Pelodiscus sinensis: one gene and its partners. The protein of the gene in region 3 purifies or fractionates together with the protein of the main gene of each other region. This does not show direct contact. Links are inferred from orthologs where the notes say so. Each region holds a gene or a part of one and is shown on either strand. Other genes may lie near its edges.

The links.
Region 1: the proteins of POLR2B (region 3) and CTDP1 purify together in Homo sapiens (affinity purification with mass spectrometry; 3 studies listed by BioGRID and IntAct, with this or other methods). This does not show direct contact. The link is inferred for Pelodiscus sinensis from reciprocal best matches to the Homo sapiens genes POLR2B and CTDP1.
Region 2: the proteins of POLR2B (region 3) and GPN3 purify together in Homo sapiens (co-immunoprecipitation; 3 studies listed by BioGRID and IntAct, counting the BioPlex papers as one, with this or other methods). This does not show direct contact. The link is inferred for Pelodiscus sinensis from reciprocal best matches to the Homo sapiens genes POLR2B and GPN3.

The regions. Positions count from the first base shown.
Region 1 is NC_134712.1:100,310,349-100,317,526, forward strand, and holds the start of CTDP1 (RNA polymerase II subunit A C-terminal domain phosphatase), read left to right. Parts: upstream 1-4,151; 5' UTR 4,152-4,299; coding exon 4,300-4,604; intron 4,605-7,178. UniProt on the Homo sapiens protein: Processively dephosphorylates 'Ser-2' and 'Ser-5' of the heptad repeats YSPTSPS in the C-terminal domain of the largest RNA polymerase II subunit. This promotes the activity of RNA polymerase II.
Region 2 is NC_134725.1:32,203,341-32,210,935, forward strand, and holds the start of GPN3 (GPN-loop GTPase 3), read left to right. Parts: upstream 1-4,569; 5' UTR 4,570-4,750; coding exon 4,751-4,798; intron 4,799-5,352; coding exon 5,353-5,461; intron 5,462-6,103; coding exon 6,104-6,271; intron 6,272-6,602; coding exon 6,603-6,727; intron 6,728-7,595. UniProt on the Homo sapiens protein: Small GTPase required for proper localization of RNA polymerase II (RNAPII). May act at an RNAP assembly step prior to nuclear import.
Region 3 is NC_134715.1:614,807-622,139, forward strand, and holds the start of POLR2B (DNA-directed RNA polymerase II subunit RPB2), read left to right. Parts: upstream 1-4,293; 5' UTR 4,294-4,436; coding exon 4,437-4,455; intron 4,456-6,135; coding exon 6,136-6,208; intron 6,209-6,852; coding exon 6,853-7,003; intron 7,004-7,333. Other genes in the region: NOA1 (nitric oxide-associated protein 1), read right to left, coding at 279-443, 2,824-4,066. UniProt on the Homo sapiens protein: Catalytic core component of RNA polymerase II (Pol II), a DNA-dependent RNA polymerase which synthesizes mRNA precursors and many functional non-coding RNAs using the four ribonucleoside triphosphates as substrates.

The DNA of each region.
Region 1 (7,178 bases), on a different chromosome or scaffold from region 3:
AGCAGCAACCCCCAACAGGGGCTATTGTCACTCAGTATGGGTGAGTCTACACAGCATCCAAAACTCGAAATAAGCTGCGCAAATTGCGTACTTATTTCGGAATAGCTAATTTCATCATTTGGCGCTATCTACGGATTTTGAAATAAAGCACTATTTTGGGCCACTCCTTACTCCTCGTAGAATGATGGCGAAATAGCGTGCCCGCTATATTTCAAAATAGCTGACACATTTCAAAGACATGGGGCAACTATTTCAGAATACCTCTGGTATCCCAAAATAACTTTGCTTTGTAGACAGACCCCATGACAGCATGTGGAGCCTCTTGCCCAACTTAATTGCATGAATGCTCCCTGATGCACTCACAAATCACTAAGAGGACGTCTACACTGCATGGCTATTTTGAAATAAGCTATTATGTCTACACTGCAGGGAAGCCTCAAAATTAGTCTGAGGCAGGCTTCCCTAATGTAAATGTGATATCTCCATTTAGAGCCCCAGGAGGCACGGGGGAGGAATAACTTAGAATGGCCCTGGTGAGGGGTTATTTCAAAATATCAGCAGTGGAGCATCTACATATGCCTTTTTTCAAAATAGCTATTTCAGAATAGGCGTTATTCCTCATAGAATGAGGTTCACAGATCTCAGAATAAGCCGTCCGTTATTTCAAAATTATTTCGACATAACAGAATGGCTGTATAGATGCTTATGTTGTTATTTCAAAATAATGCTAGTTATCCCAAAATAACAGTGCAGTGTAGATGCACACAAAGAAAAAGGCACCAGCAAATCTCCCATGGCCCCAGCTTTATACTCAGGACTATACTGTCCTGTCCTGGTCAGAAATTTGTCTGCCACTCCCTCAATGTGAAGAGGACACACACTAGCCTTTGTAACCTTAAGTGACTACAGCGTGTAGTCAACCTGTGGAACTCCTTGCCAGAAGAGGCTGTGAAGGCTAGGACTATAATAGAGTTTAAAGAGAAGCTAGATAATTTCATGGAGGGTAGGTCCATAAAAGGCTATTAGCCAGGGGATAAAATGGTGTCCTTGGCCTCTGTTTGTCAGAGGCTGGAGAGGGATGGCAGGAGACAAATCACTTGATCATTGTCTTCGGTCCACCTTCTCTAGGGCACCTGGTGTTGGCCACTGTCAGCAGACAGGATACTGGGCTAGATGGACCTTTGGTCTGACCCAGTACGGCCGTTCTTATGACTTGATAAGGGACTGCAGTGCATGTGCAGATTTCCAAGCAAGTCAACAAAAGGCAACTTTGAAGATATGTAGCATTCCTCACTGATCCTGGAGCAAGGTGACTATGGACCTCAGCACTGCTGACTACTGATCTTGACTTTTCGGAGTTAGATGAACTATCAAACTCTACTGCAGCAACAATAGAGAAAAAGCAACAGAAAACTTTAGTAGGAATGGCATACTGGATTGTATTATCTCTGATAATGGACCACGATTCACCAGCAAGGAATTTGCTAAAGATTGGATATTTAACCACATTACAAGCTCCTCTAGCCTCTGTTTCTCTGGAGGAGGGACAGGGGAGGGATCACATGAGGATTACCTGTTATGATCCCTCCCTTTGGAGCATCTGGTATAGGCCACTGTTGGCAGACAGGATACGGGGCTAGATGGACATTTGGTCTTACCCAGTATGGCCGTTCTTATGTTCTCTACATTACAACAGTCAGTTCAATGGCAAAACTGAATCATCCATCAAAATTGCAAAAATTATCTTAGGCCGTGTCTACACTGCCGTTTGGTGCAAAAAATATGCAAATGAACTGAAGCATGGAATATCACCACATCTCATTTGCATAATTAATGAGGCTCTGTTTTTGCGCAAGAGGCTTTTGCAGTGTAGACACAGCTTTAAAGAATATGGAAAACAAGTGGCAAGTTATCCTAAAATGAAGAAATACCCCCACTGATGGCATGACCAGCAGCTGCTCTCTAGAAGCTTTAATATCCAGGTGCACATGCACATTGGTACTTACAGTCAATGTGCTATTATGTCCTGAAGTAATGGAAGGAGTCACAACTCAGAGAAACAAAGCTAAAACTAGGCCAGAGCCTTTCCAGAGCTACAATGTGAAGAAACAGTTCAGAGTGTGATTATTTCCTTAAACCAGATTCTGCAGATGAAAACAGGCAACATGTGTGGAAATAGATAAACATCCATTCCCATATTATTGTGGTTGATGAACATACATATAATTGGAACAGTAAATTAATCTGTCCAATACAGTTTCCTATAGCTAGAGGAAACCTGATATGGGGTGAGGAGAAAGGCAAGATCCTTCTAACCGTTATAATTGGATAAACTTAAAAACAACAAATAGTATGGCAGCACTTTATAGACTAACAAAACACATAGATGGCATCATGAGCTTTCATGGGCATAGCCCACTTCTTCAGATGACTGGAGTGTTGGAATTATAATTAGAATACACTGAATTCACTACCTAACAGACACATGACAGCAGTGGGACCACTAGAACATGCCATCCAGCACCATGAAAGGACTATCAAAATCAATAAGAATGACATTACAAACACATTAGCCTTTCCTGGCACCATGAAAAGTAATTGCACACAAAAAGACATCAAACCTCATGAAGTTAATGGTAAATCTTAAATACTTTAACTCTCCACAACTACATCATCAAATGTCATTGCATAAACACAGTCAAGTTCTGTTTTAATATTTGTTGTGTTCTCGTTTTATCATAGAACCACAAGGTGTTACTGAGATTTGCTGTCCTAAACAAACGTGACAAAGGGAACATTATGCAAGACAGCTTTTCACCCACAAGAGGGAGCTGCAACTAGAATTTCCAAGGACCTAAGCTGTAAAATCTTATATAACAGGATGTGGAAAACAAGTCTCCGAGGGATATGTTTGTATCTGCTAAAACCAGGAGTCCTTTGGCACCTTAAAGACTAACAGAGTTAATGCATGACCTTAGTCCAGATCACCAAATGCATCTGTACTTTTTATTCACGAAAATTTATGCCCAAATAAATCTGTTAGCTTTTAAGGTGCCACATTGCCAAGTCCTCTCTATCAGATCAAGAATCACAAAGCCAATTGATGGGCAAGCGTCAGCTGCAGCGGGTTTACCGCAGTGAAGATACTGCAGTAAGTAGATCTAAGTATGTCGACTTCCGCTAGATTGTTCACACATCTGAAGATGCCTTTACGTTCTTAGATTGACAGGCCAGGGCGGTGTAGACTAGAGGGCTTGTCTACACTGAACACATTCCACACAGCTGGGGCGATTATAGACGCCACTTCTGGCGCTACCCTGCAAAAAAAATCCACTTGTCCCAGCTGGGAGCCAGGTCAATAGGAGAATTCCTCTATCAACCAAGCGCTGTCTCCACAGGGACTTCGGTCAGGTTAACAACCCAGCTCGGAGCGGGGGTTTCACGCTCCTGACAGGAGTCAAACTGAATCTAAGTTCCAAGGGTAGCCCACGCCCCAGCATTAAGCCCTGGGTGGCCGCACACATCGGCAGAGCGGTGCAGGGGGGCGCCCGTTCGCGTCCCACCAGCCGCACTTAGCGTGCAGCACCCACCCACATTGGGCTGCAGGGGAATCGCGGTGTCCTCCTTCCCCGCTGCAAACTACAGAGCCCAGCATGCAACGCGCCTTCCCTTAAGGACCCGTCGCTCGGGCTCGCCCCAGCAACTTTAATGCGAGGGGACGGGCTCGGAGCAACGCATGCTGGGAGTTGTAGTTCCTGACGTGTTGGGAAGGTCTTCGCCTGCCGGGAAGAGTAGTTCTTTGGTCCCGCACTGTGTGCCGGGATTGTCTGCGCGTGCGCGGAGCCCAGGTGGTTAGAGCACCTATTGGGTTCCGGAAGGGGAGCACGCGCTCGCTGTTGAGTGTTGACTGTGAGGTCAGCACAAGGTGCCGGAAGTGTGGGCCTGGGGGGCGTGGCTGTCCCTTTCTCTCCCTGGAGCGGGAAGAGTCAATGCGCGTTGTGTCTTTCCTTCGCTGGCTCCTGGGAGCGAGTTCTGCGTTACTGTCTCTTTAAGCCCGGACAGGCGTGTGCGTTGGGCGCGCCCTGCGCGTGCGTATCGGGGCCGTGACCTCGCGCCCAGTCGGCGCGGCTCGTGACTGTTTAATTTTTTTTTTTTTTGAGAAGGGGAGGGGGGGGGGAGAATGAGAAAATAACAGCTCAGCGTTCGAGGCTATTATTGAGTTAGTGGCGCGAGCGTTACCATAGCGACCTTCCCCTCGGCGGCCTAGGGCCGGGACGAGCCGCCGCGGCCGGAGGAGCCATGGAGGAGACGGAAGGAGCAGGGGCCGCCGAGGGCCCCGGGACGGCGGTGACCGAGATCCGGGTGCCGGGCCCGCGGGCGCTGCGGCTGCTGGAGTGGAAGGTGTCCGCGGGAGCGGCGGTGAAGATCGGGTCGCTGCTGGCGCTGTGCGCGCCCCTCCCGCCGCCCGGCCGCGCCACCACCCCCCCGGCCCAGGGCCCCGGCGCCCGGCCCCCGCGAGCGGCCGCCGAGCGCCGAGTGAAGGCGGAGCGGCCCGGGGTGGTGCGCGAGCTGTGTGCGCGGCCCGGACAGGTCATCGCGCCCGGGTAAGAAGGCGGCTGGGAGCGCGGCCGCCCTGACCGCGCCGGGGAGGCGGGCGAGGGGTATGGGTGCAGCCGCCCCGCCCCGGGCTCGCAGAGGCCGTGCCGACCGGCCGCAGCATCGCCCGGCCCGGCCGAGCCCGCCGGGGCTCGGGTAGCGCATCCGCGAGAGGTGTCGGGCCGGGCTGTGAGAGCCGCAGAGTCTCTCGAAACCGAGCGTGTCTCCGCCGCCCCCCGTCCGCTTTAACTTCGTGGCTGCGGCTGGCGGAGCGGCCCAACAGCCACCGGCTCGCGGCGCGAATGCGCTGTGGCGGGTGTGGGAGTTGTTCTGCTGAAGGTCTGGTTCCTGAGACCTCCTTTTGCTGTTTGCTCCGCTGCGTGTTTTGAGCGCCTCTGCGCAGTGATCACCAGTTACACTGAGCCTCTTGCCTATGTTTTTGGTCATAGCCGCAGTCCAAGTAAGCTAGAGACTATCAGTCTCATCCCGTCCCCGAATTATAAAATTTCTCTCTTCCCCCCCCTCCCTCTCAGACTTGGCCTATACCTCTGTAGTTCACACGGTGCAAAAGTCTAAGTAACGTTCAAACACCAACAAGTTTTAACGGAAATTGACCACATACATTTTATTTGGAAAAAGTTATATTTCCAGGAAGGCAGATCTCAGTGTAGCCGCTGTTATACCACGGATATATAAACACAGCAATAGAAGGGATTTTTTTTTTCAGTCGCTGTAGTAAAAATACACCTCCTAGAAAGATGGTAGTTTGGTCTATGGAAGAATTCATTCCAGCAGAAAACTTTCACAGTCTCAGTGATGTAGTTAGGTCAGTTTAAATGTTAGGAGTACATTAGCCTAGTGCTTGATGCTGCCAACACATATTAAAGGGAAGGCAAAGGTGAGCTATAGAAACAGCTTTCATAACCTCGATATTTTCCTTTCTCTCTGCCTCAAATTCCTTATTTGTAATATGGGACACTAGTATTTCTGTAACTTGTAGGGTTATTGTGTGACTAAACTATTTCATATTTATGAACTGCTCAAGTCCTATGAAGATGGGTGGGATAGGAAAAAGTTTATAAAGACTTATGTTAATGATATATGCCTGGCGGAGAAAGGGATAACATAGTCTAATGGCTGGAGGTAGAAGATAGACACATACATCCTCTGCATATGCTCTAGAATGCCACTGAAATAAACAGCTGTCATGGGTTATTATTTAGTGTTAATACAGAAGTGCTTTTAACACAAAGTTGTGCAAATAGGTGCATTCCGTTTTTATTGTATTCTTGAAGCAGTAGTTTCCTGTTTGTTTTGTGTGTTGTGGAAGTGAAGATCAAATAATGAAGGAATCTAACAGTTTTCTGCTTAACAGAATAAGAAAGGAGGAAGTTTAATCTAGAGATCAGATTTGCTGTAATAGAACTTTTATTGATGACGACATCATTGCCATACGCTCTAAAATATGTGTATACCAATCCTATGCATTTTAGTGAATAGCTCTCAATGTGGAGAGATATTATATGACAAATATTTTCCATTGTTTAATGGTATTCACATAATTTTCTGTTGATTGACTTCTGACTTGTTAAATATGTTGTCTTTGTGTTCCCAGCTGGTGAATAGCATGTTTCAGGTCTCTGGGTTAAATTGAGCTAATGGCTTGCTACCCTACACTTCAAACAGGTCTTTCTCGACAGGAAGCCATTGAAACCTTCTACTTCCTTTGTTTTATGATGGCAAGTTATTTTCTTTTATTGCAGTTCTTTTGATATTTAGGTGGATGCAGCCAGGCCTGAACTTTCTTTATTGGAAATCATTGGTGTATCTAGAACATCTGCATCTTTTCTAAGATCCAGTAAACTAGTATATATAAACAAGACTTTTATCGGTCAATAAAAAAACATATAAAAAGACAGTTGAGTTCTTTTAGTAATTTTTATTCTTGTGATAGAATTGTGGGGGAAATTGGACTACAGGGTTCTACAAATGCTACTTCAGGACTAGGCAAGTATATTTTAAAAACCTGTTTTGTCAATACTAGTCTGGAACAAGTGTATGCCAGAAGTTTCTGCTGAAATTGTCCCAGGGCTTTGTGGCGGGAAAGATAGAGAGAGCATATGAGGACTAAAACTATGAAATGGTAAATTGGTATTTAGATGATGTAGCAGAGATGCAATTATTGTACCTTAATCAAAATCAAGAACATTTTTACCATGCTGTGTTGGTGCAAATATTTGTTGTTCTCATTTCTAAGTCATGGTTAAATTAACAAATACATAGGCTTATGTGACTTGAGACAACTTAATTTTTAGGGGGCTTGCACATATTAAAAACAAGTGCAGTATGGATCTGATACTTAGTTGCCAGGAAGTATAAACATTTTGTGTTAGGGTATGCACAAAAGTTGTGCACAATTGTGTGCTGAACTCAGTTAATGGTTGTCTCCTTGATTGGAATTACCAGATGTTTATATGAGACCCTTCAGAAAAGACATACACTGGGTTGTTATTCATTCATAATGCTTTAGTTGCCATGTAAGCTGTGCTTGGTGTTGTAATACTAGTTTGGGATACGTTTTT
Region 2 (7,595 bases), on a different chromosome or scaffold from region 3:
AAGACCCTGGGGGAGGGGCTTCCAGGAGTGCTGACAGGGCCACTGCCATTTGCTTTCCCACTCTCTGGGCCTCCTCACCACCTATCCTGCAGGGCCAGCTTCCTGGTCTCCCTCAGCCAAGATACCTTGCTGAGATCAGTGCCCTCCTCTGCCCCCAGGAAGCAGTAAAGATACTGAATCTCTTCTGGTCCAAGGAAAGGCCAGTTTAGGCCCCAGCTTCCTGAGATACCACTCCCCAAATGGGATCAAAACCCACCAATGAATTACTTGGGTAAGCTCCCTTTAGCAATGAAAGGGGAAATGTACACACTGGTTGCCCCTCCCTGCCAGGTAAAAATTATTTTCATTGGGCTTGATAGAAAATAAAGTGTTTTTATTAACAACAAGCAGTAGGATTTAAGTCAGGGCTACTCAGCACATGGCTTGTGGGTCACATGTGGCTCATGGCCCATTTATTTGTGGCCTGTGGTCTGATTTGGGTTTATGTGGCTCAACACGCGGTCTGCAGGTGGGATCCTTTGAACGTGGCCTCTATTGGGAACACACTCCACAATGACGAGGCATCTTCCATGCGGGGTGAGCACTGAAAGACACAAGTGGACAGGCTGGCTGGACCAGATGGGTACAGAGTGTCAGTGTTTCTAGTCCCCAGAGAGGAGGTGTCAGGAGCTGGGGCATTGTGGGAAGTGCTGGCTACTTAGCCTTGTGGGCAGAATCTAAAAAGTGCTGACTGGCTCACACTGGCCATGTTTGGGTCTAGCGCCACAACTTAAATCTTTGTTTTCATGCCAATAAGCGTGAAAGAAGTTATTTGCATATACTTGCATATATATTTACATGTATATGCAACCACACTTAAGCTGTGGCCCACTGCATGTGCTGTGAGTATCATTGTGACGCTCGGGGCTTCCAAAGTTGAGTAGCCCTGATTTAAGTGGTAGTAAGTGAGAACAGGCAGAGCAAAGTAGATTACAAATCAAACGTAACAAAAACTGCTAAGCTAATTCTGACACTAACTAAAATCCTCAGAACAAACTATAAACTCACCCTAAAACTGTCTCATTTCCAGCACAACCTTCCAAACCAGGGCTGTCCCTCACCTTGGAGCCTTTAGTTCACCCTCTTCACATCTGCCCAACCAGCCCAAAGACCCAGACTACTACCTTCCTATTGTTTTTAAAGATTCCCTCCTGGGAATTCACCTGGCCAGTTGGGGTGAACATGTGACTTTCCCAGACCAACCACTGCTAAGACTTAAAGGACAAAAGAAAGTGTTGGTCATCAAGTTGGTCATCAAGACATTGCATCTTTAATGCTATTCATTCACACATTTAAAACCATAAAGCATTCCCCAGTCCATATGTCTAATTTTATACACAAGAATGACACACATACCAAAATGAGATGAACAGATCTAGCAGATTAAGATATGAAGATTGATAGGTTACATGAAGTAATTTGCTCAAAGCACTTTGGAGTTATGTACATTTGTACCCATAAGTCCATTTCATAAAGCATCAGGGGGTCCATCACGTTGAGACTCTCAGCTTGCATCTTTCTAGCTCTCATGTTGCAGAGAAAAGGTACAAAATGTGAGCCAATGGTACCCAAAAGTTTCAGAAGCTAAGCCCTTGTCTACACTACAGAGATCATGTGTGTCCGATATTTTTTTGAAAGCCATCTTTGGCAGCAGAACACAGAGACTCCCAGTCCCCACTCCTGGGTGCCACAGCTAAGCGTTACACCAAGGTGACTCAACTTTGGAAGTCCTGGGAGCCACAATGATACCTACCGCACATGCTGAGGGTAGGGTTACCAGATGGCTTTCAAAATAATATCAGACATACAAGATCTCAGAATGGGGGGAGGGGAGGAACCAGCTGGGAGGGGTTCGGGGGAGCAGGGCTGATCGGGGGCAGGGGGCAACTGGCTGGCGGGAAGCAGGGCTGGGCGGGGAGGATAGGAGGAGCAGATCTGATGGTGGGGGGAGGGGGAGAATGGCTGGCAGGAAGCAGGGCTGGCCAGGAAGGGGTCAGGGGGAGCGAGGCTAGCCGGGGTGATTTTGGGGTGGAGGCTGGCCAGCGGAGAGCTGGGCTGGCCAGGAGGGGGTCGGGAGGAGCAGGGCTGTCCAGGGGAAATTGGGGGAAGGAACCAGCTGGTGGGAAGCAAGGCTGGCCAGGAGAAGGTTGGCGGGGGTGGGGCTGGCCAGGGGAAATAGGGGTATTGGGAGGCGGACCAGCTGGTGGAGAGCGGGGCTGGCTGGGAGGGGGTCGGGAGGAGCAGGGCTGGCTGGGGGAGATTGGGGGAAAGGAACCAGCTGGTGGGAAGCAGGGCTGTCCGGGAGAGGGTCGGAGGGGAGCGGGGCTGACTGCGGCGGTGCGGGGGAGACGACTGGCAGGCAGGGAGCAGGACTGGCCGGGCGGGGGAGGAGGGGTCAGAGGGGAAGAACTGGCTGGTGGGGAGAGGGCTGGTTTGGGCACACACAGATCCTGGAGTGCTGCCCATCCCGTGCATGGTCCCGGCAGGGTGCATGAGTGAGTCCGACCCCAGAGATTCCATCCCGCCTCACCCCCGCCCCCTCCTCCCTACTGCGTAGCTGTGTACTGCCTGGCTGGTAGACACGTTCACGCACTATGCAACTTTGTACTGATACTCAGGATAACAATAAAACTTACTTAATTAGAAAATACTGGACATTTATATGTCGGGTATTTTCTCAATTTGTTTCCCGGACAGAAAGCTCAAATACCGGACTGTCCGGTTCAAAACCAGACACCTGGCAACCCTAGCTGAGGGCTGAAACTTAAATGTGGTTGCATATACATGCAAATATATATACACTCAGCTTCTTTCACATTTTGGGCATGAATACAAAGATTAAGCAAGACCACATAACACACAGGCCCCATTTAAGTCAGTTGTGCTGATATTAATAAAATGCAATATTTACCCGATTTCCATCCATAGGACAGCACTTTTAGTGAGCAATGACAGTCCAGGACTTAAACTACTAAAACGCATATCACCAAAAAACCATTATATTGACTACTTTTTTTGGGGGGGGGCTCTCACCTGCAGGCCGCATATTGAGCCCTGCGTAAATCCAAACCACACCACTGGCCGCAAACAAACGGGCTGAGCGCCGCATATGGCCCATGGGCCACATATTGAGAAGCCCAGCACTATAACATGTACCCTCTCCCTCCACACCTGTTCTCGCACCTCACTCCATTCCAAAGCCTGTAACCCCTCACCCCTTCTTACATCCACTGGCCCAGCCCAGAGGCTGCACCAGCACCCAAATTGCACCCCCCCCACTCTCCCTCCCGCACCCAAACTGCACCCCCCCACTCTCCCTCCCTCACCCAAACTGCACCCCCCCACTCCTCCTCCCGCACCCAAACTGCATCCCCCCCACTCTCCCTCCCTCACCCAAACTGCATCCCCCCCACTCTCCCTCCCTCACCCAAACTGCACCCCCCCCACTCCTCCTCCCGCACCCAAACTGCATCCCCCCCACTCCTCCTCCCGCACCCAAACTGCATCCCCCCCACTCTCCCTCCCTCACCCAAACTGCACCCCCCCCACTCCTCCTCCCGCACCCAAACTGCATCCCCCCCACTCCTCCTCCCGCACCCAAACTGCATCCCCCCCACTCTCCCTCCCTCACCCAAACTGCACCCCCCCACTCCTCCTCCCGCACCCAAACTGCATCCCCCCCACTCTCCCTCCCTCACCCAAACTGCATCCCCCCCACTCTCCCTCCCTCACCCAAACTGCATCCCCCCCACTCTCCCTCCCTCACCCAAACTGCACCCCCCCCACTCCTCCTCCCGCACCCAAACTGCACCCCCCCCACTCCTCCTCCCGCACCCAAACTGCACCCCCCCCACTCCTCCTCCCGCACCCAAACTGCACCCCCCCCACTCCTCCTCCCGCACCCAAACTGCACCCCCCCCACTCCTCCTCCCGCACCCAAACTGCATCCCCCCCACTCTCCCTCCCTCACCCAAACTGCATCCCCCCCACTCTCCCTCCCTCACCCAAACTGCACCCCCCCCACTCCTCCTCCCGCACCCAAACTGCACCCCCCCCACTCCTCCTCCCGCACCCAAACTGCACCCCCCCCACTCCTCCTCCCGCACCCAAACTGCACCCCCCCCACTCCTCCTCCCGCACCCAAACTGCACCCCCCCACTCCTCCTCCCGCACCCAAACTGCATCCCCCCCCACTCTCCCTCCCTCACCCAAACTGCACCCCCCCACTCTCCCTCCCTCACCCAAACTGCACCCCCCACTCCTCCTCCCTCACCCAAACTCCATCCTCCCCACTCCTCCTCCCGCACCCAAACTCCATCCTCCCCACCGAGAGGCGTAGGCGGGAGGGCGGATCTGGGGGGGGGAGGGGTTGCGGGCTCTGGGCACCGCCAGTTTCTGCGGACCTGCCGCCCAGACGCCTGTGACCCACTAGGTTAACCCAGGTACGAGCCTCGGCGCCCCGCCCAACAGCCCACTCCGCCAGCAAAGCGTCTCCGCGCGTGCGCAGGAATAGTCTTCCACGTCCTCTCCAGGAGCCGAACGGGGCGATTCGGCCTCTATAGGAAGTTTGAGCTTTGGGACGCTCCGTATCCGAGGAGCTCTAGTGTGCGAATACGGCGTATCCGCCACGCTACGGGATCGCGGAGGGGTCAGTTCCTTTCGCTCGGTCCCTGCTGTCTCCGCGCTGCGTTGGAGAAACTGAGCAGCAGCCATGCCCCGCTTCGCCCAGCTGGTCATGGGCCCGGCGGGCAGTGGGAAGGTGAGACCACCCTTCGCCTTGTACCGAGGGTGGACCCGGGGCGTGCGGCGGGAATGGGGGCGGGGCATAAGGGGTTGGGGTAATTGAGGAAACTGAGGCATGGGAAACTGAGGCATGGGTAAGTACTTGGAGGCGTGGGGGTAAGTGGAGGGTTATGAGGCGGCTTAAGTGGAAGTTGCCGTGTACTCCCGTTGGCGTTTCTTGCAATCTGACATGGTGTAAAGTGGCGGTGACTCTTCTGATAAAATAGTCCTTTGTGGTAGCCTACAGATAACCCTTTGCATTGCGTTTGCATCGCTCCTTTCATCGGGAGACTGGACGGTGCTGTACAGAGGAGGTGTTATCCCCCTTTCACAGCCAGGGATACTCAGGCATAGAGGGGAAGTGCTGCATATGTTGGACGGTTACGTCAGGCAGAGCTGGGAATGGAATTCGGGTATTCAGATTCCCAGACTCCTGCTTTCAATATTAAGACTGTTGCCTCTACTTTCAGGTATAAAATTGCAACTTTTAGGTACTTTCAGTGGGTAATAAGATTCCTATTTAAATTACAGAGCACTTACTGTTCCACCATGGTTCAGCATTGTGCAGCCCTAAACCGCTCAGTGCAAGTTGTTAACCTGGACCCTGCAGCAGAATACTTCAATTATCCTGTGATGGCTGGTGAGTTGTGTTTGGGTGCATTGTTTCTTAATTTCCTGTACTCTCCGAACTGCTGAAAATGGATAGAGAATAGAACAGTTCTTACACAGGCTGAATCAGGCTTGAATATCGAGTTTTCTTTTTAATGACAAATTCAAATTTAATTCAAATTTGACCTGTCTGCATGTCAAAGCTGTTCCGATTTGACTTACAGCACTCTCCCGATTTTAAATCTGATTTTTATTTTTTAATAAAAGGATATATATATATATATATATATATATATTATACACACACACACAAAACTATGGTATTTTGAGGCAATATTAGTAGGACCTATACAATATTTTTCCTGAATCTATAGCAGTATTTTACAAACCTTTTAGAAATAGTCAGTGTTCTGGTTTCCCCCTATATATACATTTTTTTTGTCTGTTTGAAGGAATGGAGAAAAGAAACAACACTTTAAAAAAAACCCAGGAATTTGTGACTGTAAAATCACAAAAATTGGCAAAAGGCATGGGGGATGGGAGAGCTGGGGCAGCACGTGAAACAAATTTAGTTGGCGAAGATCATTTGGAGATTTAAACTTGTAGGAATTTGCTTCTGGAATTTATTTATGAAGTGTTGAAAAAAACACAAAACATGCACTTTTTATTCTAGACATTCGAGAATTAATTGAAGTAGATGATGTTATGGAAGATGACAACTTAAGGTTTGGTCCCAATGGTGGTTTAGTGTTTTGCATGGAATACTTTGCCAATAACTTTGATTGGCTTGAGGATTGTCTTGGCCATGTGGAGGATGACTACATACTCTTTGATTGCCCAGGTAAACAAGCTTTTATATTCTGGTGACTTAATTTTTTTTCTTATCTGATGTGTAGATTTTTTTTGCATGTATTTGATCATTTGCAGATAAAGCCTTTTTTAACTGTTATGTGGTTTAGTGCCAAAATGAAACATATTATTTTGTTTAAAACTGTCCAAGAGCAAATACTTCTTTTTAGATAATGCTATCACACATTCTGTGCTAGATTTCACTAATTTTAATAGCAATATCTTCTGCCTATCTACTATAATGGTATTTGATGAACTAATATGCTATTACTGTCTCAGCATTAGCTTTACACTCCTGCATATTAATTATGTATGTGTCCTAGGTCAGATTGAACTTTATACTCATTTGCCAATGATGAAACAGCTGGTGGAGCAGCTGCAACAGTGGGAATTTCGTGTCTGTGGAGTTTTTCTTGTTGATTCTCAGTTTATGGTGGAATCTTTTAAGGTAGGAGTTTTAAATTGATTGTAACAAAGTTTTTAATTTACAGATGAACAATCTGGAGAAATGAATAACTATATTCAGAATATGGATGTTAAATATTGGTGAATTGAATAGTCAATTAACCTCATGAATTCTTATTGGTTAGTCGACTATTCTATAGTCCCCAGGCAGCCCCTGTCCGGGGGGGAGGAGTCTGAGCTCCCAGACCCGGCACAAACCGGAACTGAGCCGGGCTGCCTAGCTTCTAATAAACTTTAAATGCAGAGCTGCAGTGGGGGTAGGTCCAGGACCCAGTGCAAGCCAGGGCTAAGCTGGGCTGCTGGCCAGCCTGCTAAAAATTTTACTGGCGGGGGGTGGGGGCAATGAGTGTAGTCTATAGCATTAACCTATAAGCTTTTGCTTATCAGTTAATCGACTGTACTGTTACATCCCTAATTCAAAAGCAATCATAGCATTTTTCACCTCTCCATTGTCACTCTTTTGTAAACTTAAATATTCTTTATGGCCTAATAGTCTATGGAGGTGTGGGTAGGAAATGGGAGTCATGAGATCTGCGAAAAATCCTTGAATGCTGACTGTTCACTGTATCAATTAACCTGTAAAATGAGCAAAATTGGTACTTGAAAAATGAAGTTCCTGAAGTAAGGGATACACTGAGATGGGAATCCTAGAACTCGCCCAGAAGTAGGTTGGCTTCTGACCTAACAATGTCCTTAGACATTGCTTTGCCTCCTACATTTCATATCTGTCTGTTGCTAGTAGGGGCAAAACTAGCAAAAGACAGAAATGAGGCTGTAGGGTAAGTTGTGCATATATGCACAAGACTGGGTGAAAAAGGCTGATGGAGTAAGTTGGAAAAAAGTATAGTACA
Region 3 (7,333 bases):
CGGAAGACAAGATGCTTGGCTAGACAGACCTTTGGTCTGATCTAGTATGGCAGTTCTTATCTTTAATGAATTCTTATTCTGATATATTGTTACACTATCGCATACACTAATAACCCAAATCTGAATTGTATCACAAATGCATGCTGGCTAGCAATTTTTACTAATCAAGAGTGCACTTTAGATACTAACATACCATACAATAAAGTTTAATTGAATCTTTAATGCAGTATCACCATTTGCTCTTAAGATTTAAATATTCTCTCTCAGATAACACTCACCTATTAAATAACCTTGCTTTTTAAGGCATTTAAGATATTTTTGTTCATCACCACTAAGTTGTTCTTCAGTTTTTTCTGCATCTGCTTTTAATCTTTCCTGTCTTCTGAACAGCCTGTCAGGTGTAGGATTAATAATTGGAAATTTCAGGAGATTTAAGGTTGTGCCTGAAAAATAAATGCCAACGTTATCCAGGTCTATGATTGCGCAAATTAAATATAGTATATAAAAGCAATTAAATGTTAAGGTGCAAACAGTGAAAAAAGCCACATACAGAACAAATTTCACTGGCTTTATGATGGCCTCATTCTTCTTTATGAAACAGAAAAACAATTACACAATAACAAAACTAAAGACAACTGCTAAGTTAAAGACTCTTCTCAGAAATTACTGTCCACAGTGGCTAGGACAACACTATGATGTTGGACAACAGTTGTTAGCAGTTGTGTTAGCTTCTAGGAAGCCAATGTGCTGAGCATGATACGAATGGGTTGCACCTATACACACATCCTTTTGCAAAGAAACATTACTTGTGGTACAACTGCATGAAAACTAGCAAAATTCTTCACAATTAAGACCTAATCCATTTTGCCATTATCATGATTCTTATTTATGGCAATTAATTTACTGAAAAATAAACGATAAAAGCCAGACATGAAAACTATCTTTAAAAACTATTGCAAGTAAACAGAACTTTTATAAGAGCAAAACCTGGTGTTTCTTTCAATTTGCCTTTAAAAGTGATGCGCAGAGAAAATAGGACTGTGGTCATTTAGATTTGATTTTTTTTAACTTTATAAATTAATATCTTGTTTGTAGCTTTTTCCCCCCGGAAGACACCATGGCCTTTTTGAGACTAGGAAGGAAGATATTTTTTAAAAATGTGTTAGCTAACACTAATGCATTTTACAATCTTAGTACAGTGAATGAAATTGTATCATTTATAATTTTCAGACAGGTTGCCATGTTAGTCTGTTTCAGCAAAAACAATGAAGAGTCTTTAAGGTGCCACAGGGGACACACATTTATTTGGGCATAAGAGCTTTTATGTGCTGCAGTCCTCTTCATCCGGTGCATGAAGTGGAAACTACAATTAGGTGGGGAGATATACACAGATGCAATCTTGTTATAATCTATAACGTTTTAGCTAACCAAGGTCAAGATTATGGGGGAATGGAGTGTCAGTATGAGTGTCAAGAACTGTTACTTTGGGGCACCTACTATCTCAACAGGATGCTACTAACACCATTGCTAGGTCACTTTCCACACAAGTGCCAGACTCACTGAATAATGCCACTAAAAACTAGAGAGCCCTGTTTCAATTAATATTCTTCACTATTGAACGAGACTGGTAAATATTTTCCCCAGAGATTTTGAAGCGCGTTTGGCCAAATAATAGGACCTGGAATTTATGGGTTATGTTTTGAGAAACGGACATAATCCTGACATGGGACTTGCTATAGTCAGTCCTGGCCAGTGCCAAAAAGAGCCCCATTAGACTGAAGGACCGGGAAGAGGATTAACATCTGATATTAAAATACATCACACCAGTACTCTGCTCTCTGCAGGTCACTTTGCAGTTTAGTTCTGTCCTGCTGTCTGACTGCTTAGCCTTTTCCAATACTGATGCTGCCTGAATTTTTGATATTGGTAGAACGGGCAGCAGCGAGAATGAGACACCCATGCTGAAAGCAGAGAGGAGCTAATGTTTGGTTCTTCAATTTGTCAAGCAAACCTCTGAAAATGTAAAAGTTCTGCACTGGGACTGGACTACAACTAGGAGATGTGCTACTGCTTGAAGCCTGACAGATAATTCTCCTCCGTGAAATACACAGCTCTGAGCATCACCATAACATACCAATGTTGGAAATCAAATATAAGTGTTCAAATGGCAGATTTACTACCCACTTCTCAAACTAACCCCCAATCTTATCTCACAATCACAGCTCTTCTAAGCTGCCCCAAATTATTCCTTTCTATTAAATACAGCTACATCTAACCCTTAGACTGCATGCAGATGATTCCCATTGGCTAAGGCCAGCTTCACTAGGCTGAGTCAAGTTACGAGTTTTCAGAAGGTTTGAATCGTGCTGAATTTGAAGTTCTGGAAAGGCATGAGCTACCACCAGACAACCTTATCTCTGTGCTAACAAAGGTTTTTGCCATTTCACATAGCTAAAGCCTTTATCATAATGCCTATGCACGAGACCAACTTAAGGTAGCACAGGGCAAGCTTACCGCTTGCATTTGTTAGCTACTGAGTGCTTGATTTTGCAACCTTAAAAGTTCTTTTGCCAACTTTTTTTGGGGGAATGTTATTATATACATCACTACAAGATTTGCCCCACGTTACTCAGGTGCTTAACTCAAATATATCTGAAAGTCTCTCAAATATATAGTAGATAACACCCAAGAGTCTGCAGTCAAGAACAGGCCCCTATATAAAAGCCAGTTCTTACCCCAAAAAGAACTTGAGTTTTTTTAAATTCTTACCCCCAAAAAGCTTAAACGGATAATGACAGAAGTCCCCATCCATGCCCCTCTCACCTGGCCAGGGCGAGATTGTTGCTCGGTTGATCACCTCTGGGGCTTTGGACTTGCAGTAGTCAGACTGCAGCAGAGTATTGAACAGTGTGGATTTGCCAGAGTTGGTAGTGCCTATGAGATACACATCGCCATTGCACTTCCAGGAGCGCTGCAGCTTGGAGATCAGCTCCTCCACGCCATAGCCTGTCTTGGCACTGATGAGGTGCACATCCACCAAGTTGTGGCGCCCAGTCCTGTCAGCCTGGTCCCCAATGCCCTTGGCTGCAGGGAGGATGCCCAGGCGGGCACAGCTCTTCAGCAACAACTTTCGGAAGCGCTTCAGATAGTCTGGAGAGTCCCCAGGCAACAGGTCCACCTTGTTGCCCACCACCAGGATGTTTGACCCTGCACTCACCAGCTCAGGGAGGTCTGGCAGCACGGAGTCCGGTAGGTCCAGCATATCAACCATATACAACACCAGGGGGGACCGACCATGCCGGGGGGGGCTGCGCAGAGCCGCGCTAACCAGGCTGCGGTATTGCTCCCGGGTCACCTGCATGTGCTGTGCCTGCTGGTGATGGACCAGGAGCCAGCAACGTTGACACACCACCCCCTGCAGGGCCCGGTGTACCTCCGAGTCCCCCAGGGCCCCCAGTCCGTCTGAGCCCCCTGGGGTTCCCTGTGCCCCCAATTCCACCGAGCCCCCCAAAGCCTCCTGGGTCCCCAAACCTTCCAAGCCCACCAGGGGCCCCAAATCCTTCGACCAGCTTGGGGCATCTTGTGTATCCGATTCCTCCAGGCTCCTTGGCCCCCCTAAACTTTCCAAGCCCCCCCGCGGCCCCAGCTCCGCCGAGCGCCCCGGGCCCCCCCGCGGCCCCAGCTCCCCCGGGCCCCCCCGCCTGCCGGGGCTCAGGAGGCCGCGGTACTTGTCGCTGGGCAGGAAGCCGGGCGCGGCGGGGTCCCGGCACTGCAGCTCCGCCCCGCAGCCCGAGCAGCTCACCCCGCTGGGGGGCACCGAGGGGTCCGGCCGCCCCGGCGCCCGGTGCTGGCGCTTGGGCCGCGGGCCGCGGTCCGGGCGCGGGGGGGCGGGCGGCGCGGGGCCCGGCTCGGGCACGTACTCGGGGAAGACGAACGGCTCCTCCTCGCCGCGCGGCTCCCGCAGGGCGGCCAGGGCCCGGCGCCCCGGACACAGCGCGGCGGGGGGGCGCGGGGGGGCCCGAGGCCGGGCCAGGGCCCCCAGCAGCGCGCGGCTCAGCCGGAGCATGGGGGGCGCGCGGCGGCTCCGCTTCCGCTTCCGCTTCCGGCCACGCGCGGGGACAGCGAGAAGAGCGCCCCCTGCCGGGCAGTGGGTGCGCTAGGCTCCTCCCCTCCCCACTGCGTCCGATTGGCCCGCGCCACCCACGCGCTCCGGGAGGGGCGGCGCACGCGCGTTGGCCGCACGCCCCGCTAGGAACTAGTCGCGCGGTGGCTGTTTCCGGCGGAGCATAGTGCGGAGACGCCAGCCGGGAGCCGCACGCAGCCGCAGTCCGCGCCGGGTCTCCTGCGCGTGCGTGTTGGCGCTCCCCGAGTCCCTCCATCGCGGCGGCGGGTCCGAGTCCGTGGCAGCCGCTGAGGCCCCCCCCCGCACCGCCAAGATGTACGACGCGGACGAAGGTGAGCGCGGGGGTCCGGGCCCTGCTCCGTCTCCCCGGGAGCCCCGCGCGCTCAGCCAGGCGGGTGCGCGCGCAGGCCCCGGCCCGTGCCCGCGGCGTGTGCCCCCCGCGGGGAGCCCTGCGCAGCCTGGCGCCGAAAGGGATGGACCCGCCCGGCACTTGCATCACGTGCCCCGGCAGGGCCTGTGCGTGTCAGTCCCTCTGCCCCCGGAGCAGGCCCCGCCCAACGCCTCGGACCCCAGCCCGCGCGCTTTAGTGCTCTGCCCCAGGCACCTCCTGTGCGGGTTTACAGGCCCTTCGCAGCCACAGCCAGGGGTGTTAGAATGGGGGCAATGGACGAGTCAGGTAGTGGGTGGAATGTCCATCGCTAGTCAATAGGCACTTCTGCATTCCTCCTTTGAGATGTACAACAGGGGTTAGCCGGGGAGTCCCCGCTGACCCCGGGCTCCAAGGCTGCCTCTTTGAAACACGCGGCGGTGGCGTTTCAAAGGGGCAGCCCTAGAACCCAGATTCCCCAGCTGATCCTGGGCTCTTCATGGCATTTCCCCAGAACCCAGGGTCAGTTGGGGAGTTCCCAGCTGACCCCGGGCTCCACTGAAATGCTGCGGGGAGCTTTGGCGTTTCAAAGCATCAGCAGCACACAGCTGATCCCCGGCTCAACTGTGCAGCGCTGCCGCTTTGAACTACCCCATCCTCCTTCCTTTTGCTGCCTCTCATAAAGACAGCAAGGGGGAGTGGAAATCGACTAGTCTACTGATTATCTGGTAAGCAAATGCTTATTGGCTAGTCGACTAGTCCTTAACATCCCTAGCCCCAGCCAGGATCTCTCCCCTCCAGGGACAATCCCCAGCAACCCTAAAAGCAGCCTGTTAGATCCAGGCCCCAGCATGCTCTCAGTAACAGGCTGTAGCTACAACACAACAGCTCCTGGTCTGGAAAAGGCTCTACACCAGCACAGCCTGGCTCCTCCCTCCAAAATGGAGCTTACTAGCTCTCTTCGTCCATGCCTGGAAGAGCCACCGTTCCTTCCTTCTTCCCAAGGGGACTGCACGGGTAATTGGACAGGCATGTGACTGTTCTAATTTCAGCCACTACATGACTATTCCATAGTCCCTGGGGGCAGGGCCAGCAGCCAGTGTGCTCCCCCCTACTCCTGGCCCCATTCCTATGGAGCCCCCTGCTACCCCACACTGCTACCTCTGAAGCCCCAGATATCAATGAACACAAATGTTCCCCCTAATCTTTTCCATGCATGTGCTGATTTTTCCATCCATATGTGGAATAAACTTTTTATGTGCCCTGAGGCATGTGCCAAAGTGCACCTAGCTGTGGATCCTCTCCTAAGCATCTGGGCCACATTTGAATTTCTAAAACCAACTGCACAAGTGCACAGCTTACACTTAAGCCTTACAGGAAACATTGACCAACATTCCATGGTGCTAAGAGCTGAGCAAATACAGAAAAAAACATGGTCCCTGCCCTAAAGATCTTACAGTCTAACTATTACAGGAAAGCTATGAACAGAGCCTATTGTTAGTCCTCTTACAGGTTTTATTAAGCTCATTAGATTGTAGAAAAGCAAGGTATTTATGTACAGCTGTTGGGTAGTTAGAAGCTATATTCAGCCAAAAAATCTTGAATGAATAGAAAGACTGACCTGAGTGTCCTACTTTCTTGGCAGATATGCAATATGATGAAGATGATGATGAAATCACTCCAGATCTATGGCAAGAAGCATGCTGGATAGTTATTAGGTAACATTAATATTTTTAGAAAGTTTGATAGTAGTGAAGTAAACAGGAAAGTGCACCCTTAGCTTAAAAAAGGATCTAATATTTAATGTGATGAAAGTTCCAAGATTTCATATCCAAAATCATAAATGTTTTCTCTTTAAGAATGAAAGAACTGTTACAAAGAGAGAGTATGAGATTTTAGACCACTGGTCCTATGTATAATTAGCCAAAGATGAATGGTTTTGAAAAGTCAGAGCCCTCCTAGACAATCTGAAAGGTTTTTCTTGTAAATTCAGCACTAACACAATATTTTCTGTTACTGCTTGTGAGTGTAGAGCTACACTATGAGATTACTGCTAAGAAATGCAAAATAGTGAATTGGCAAGTAAAAGTCCCGAACACACAATGTCTTGTATGTGGGTCATCAGGGAACAAAGTTGAGAGATCGGGACATAAATATTTGGCTGTTTTTGAAAGTTTCTTTGGAACAATTGTATTTCAACAGTGTGCTGTGAGACAAAAACAAGAACAATTACATAGAGCAATAATGTGTTTTGATTAATTATAGTATGTTTATCTTGAATTTTAAAACCTCTTGATTACATATTCATAAACTATGTTAACTGAGAATTTTTGTTAATTAATGTTCCTGATTTTTTTCTAAGCTCCTATTTTGATGAGAAGGGCTTGGTCCGACAACAGCTGGATTCTTTTGATGAGTTCATTCAGATGTCTGTGCAGAGAATTGTAGAAGATGCACCACCTATTGATTTACAAGCTGAAGCTCAGCATGCTACAGGGGAAGTTGAAGAGCCGGTATGAGTTTCATTCTTTTAATTGTACTGATGTGAAAATTGTGCTGGGGACTCTCATCACAGTTGAACAACTGAAGGCTGCCGCAGCAGATCCAATTAGTGCGTGATATAGCTAAAAAGGAATGCATATGCTACCAGCAAGGGAATGAATGGATCACTAAATAAAGCAATGGCAAAAATAGTTTGTCTGTAACACACTTTATCCAGGGTGAGAAACACAAAAATGTTCAGCACTCATAAGTGGGGTCAGATATTCAAAAGGGCTCAGCTCCCATTGTTCTCATTTGGCACATTACCAAATTTCATTCCTTAACTCCAGAAGCTTGATGGG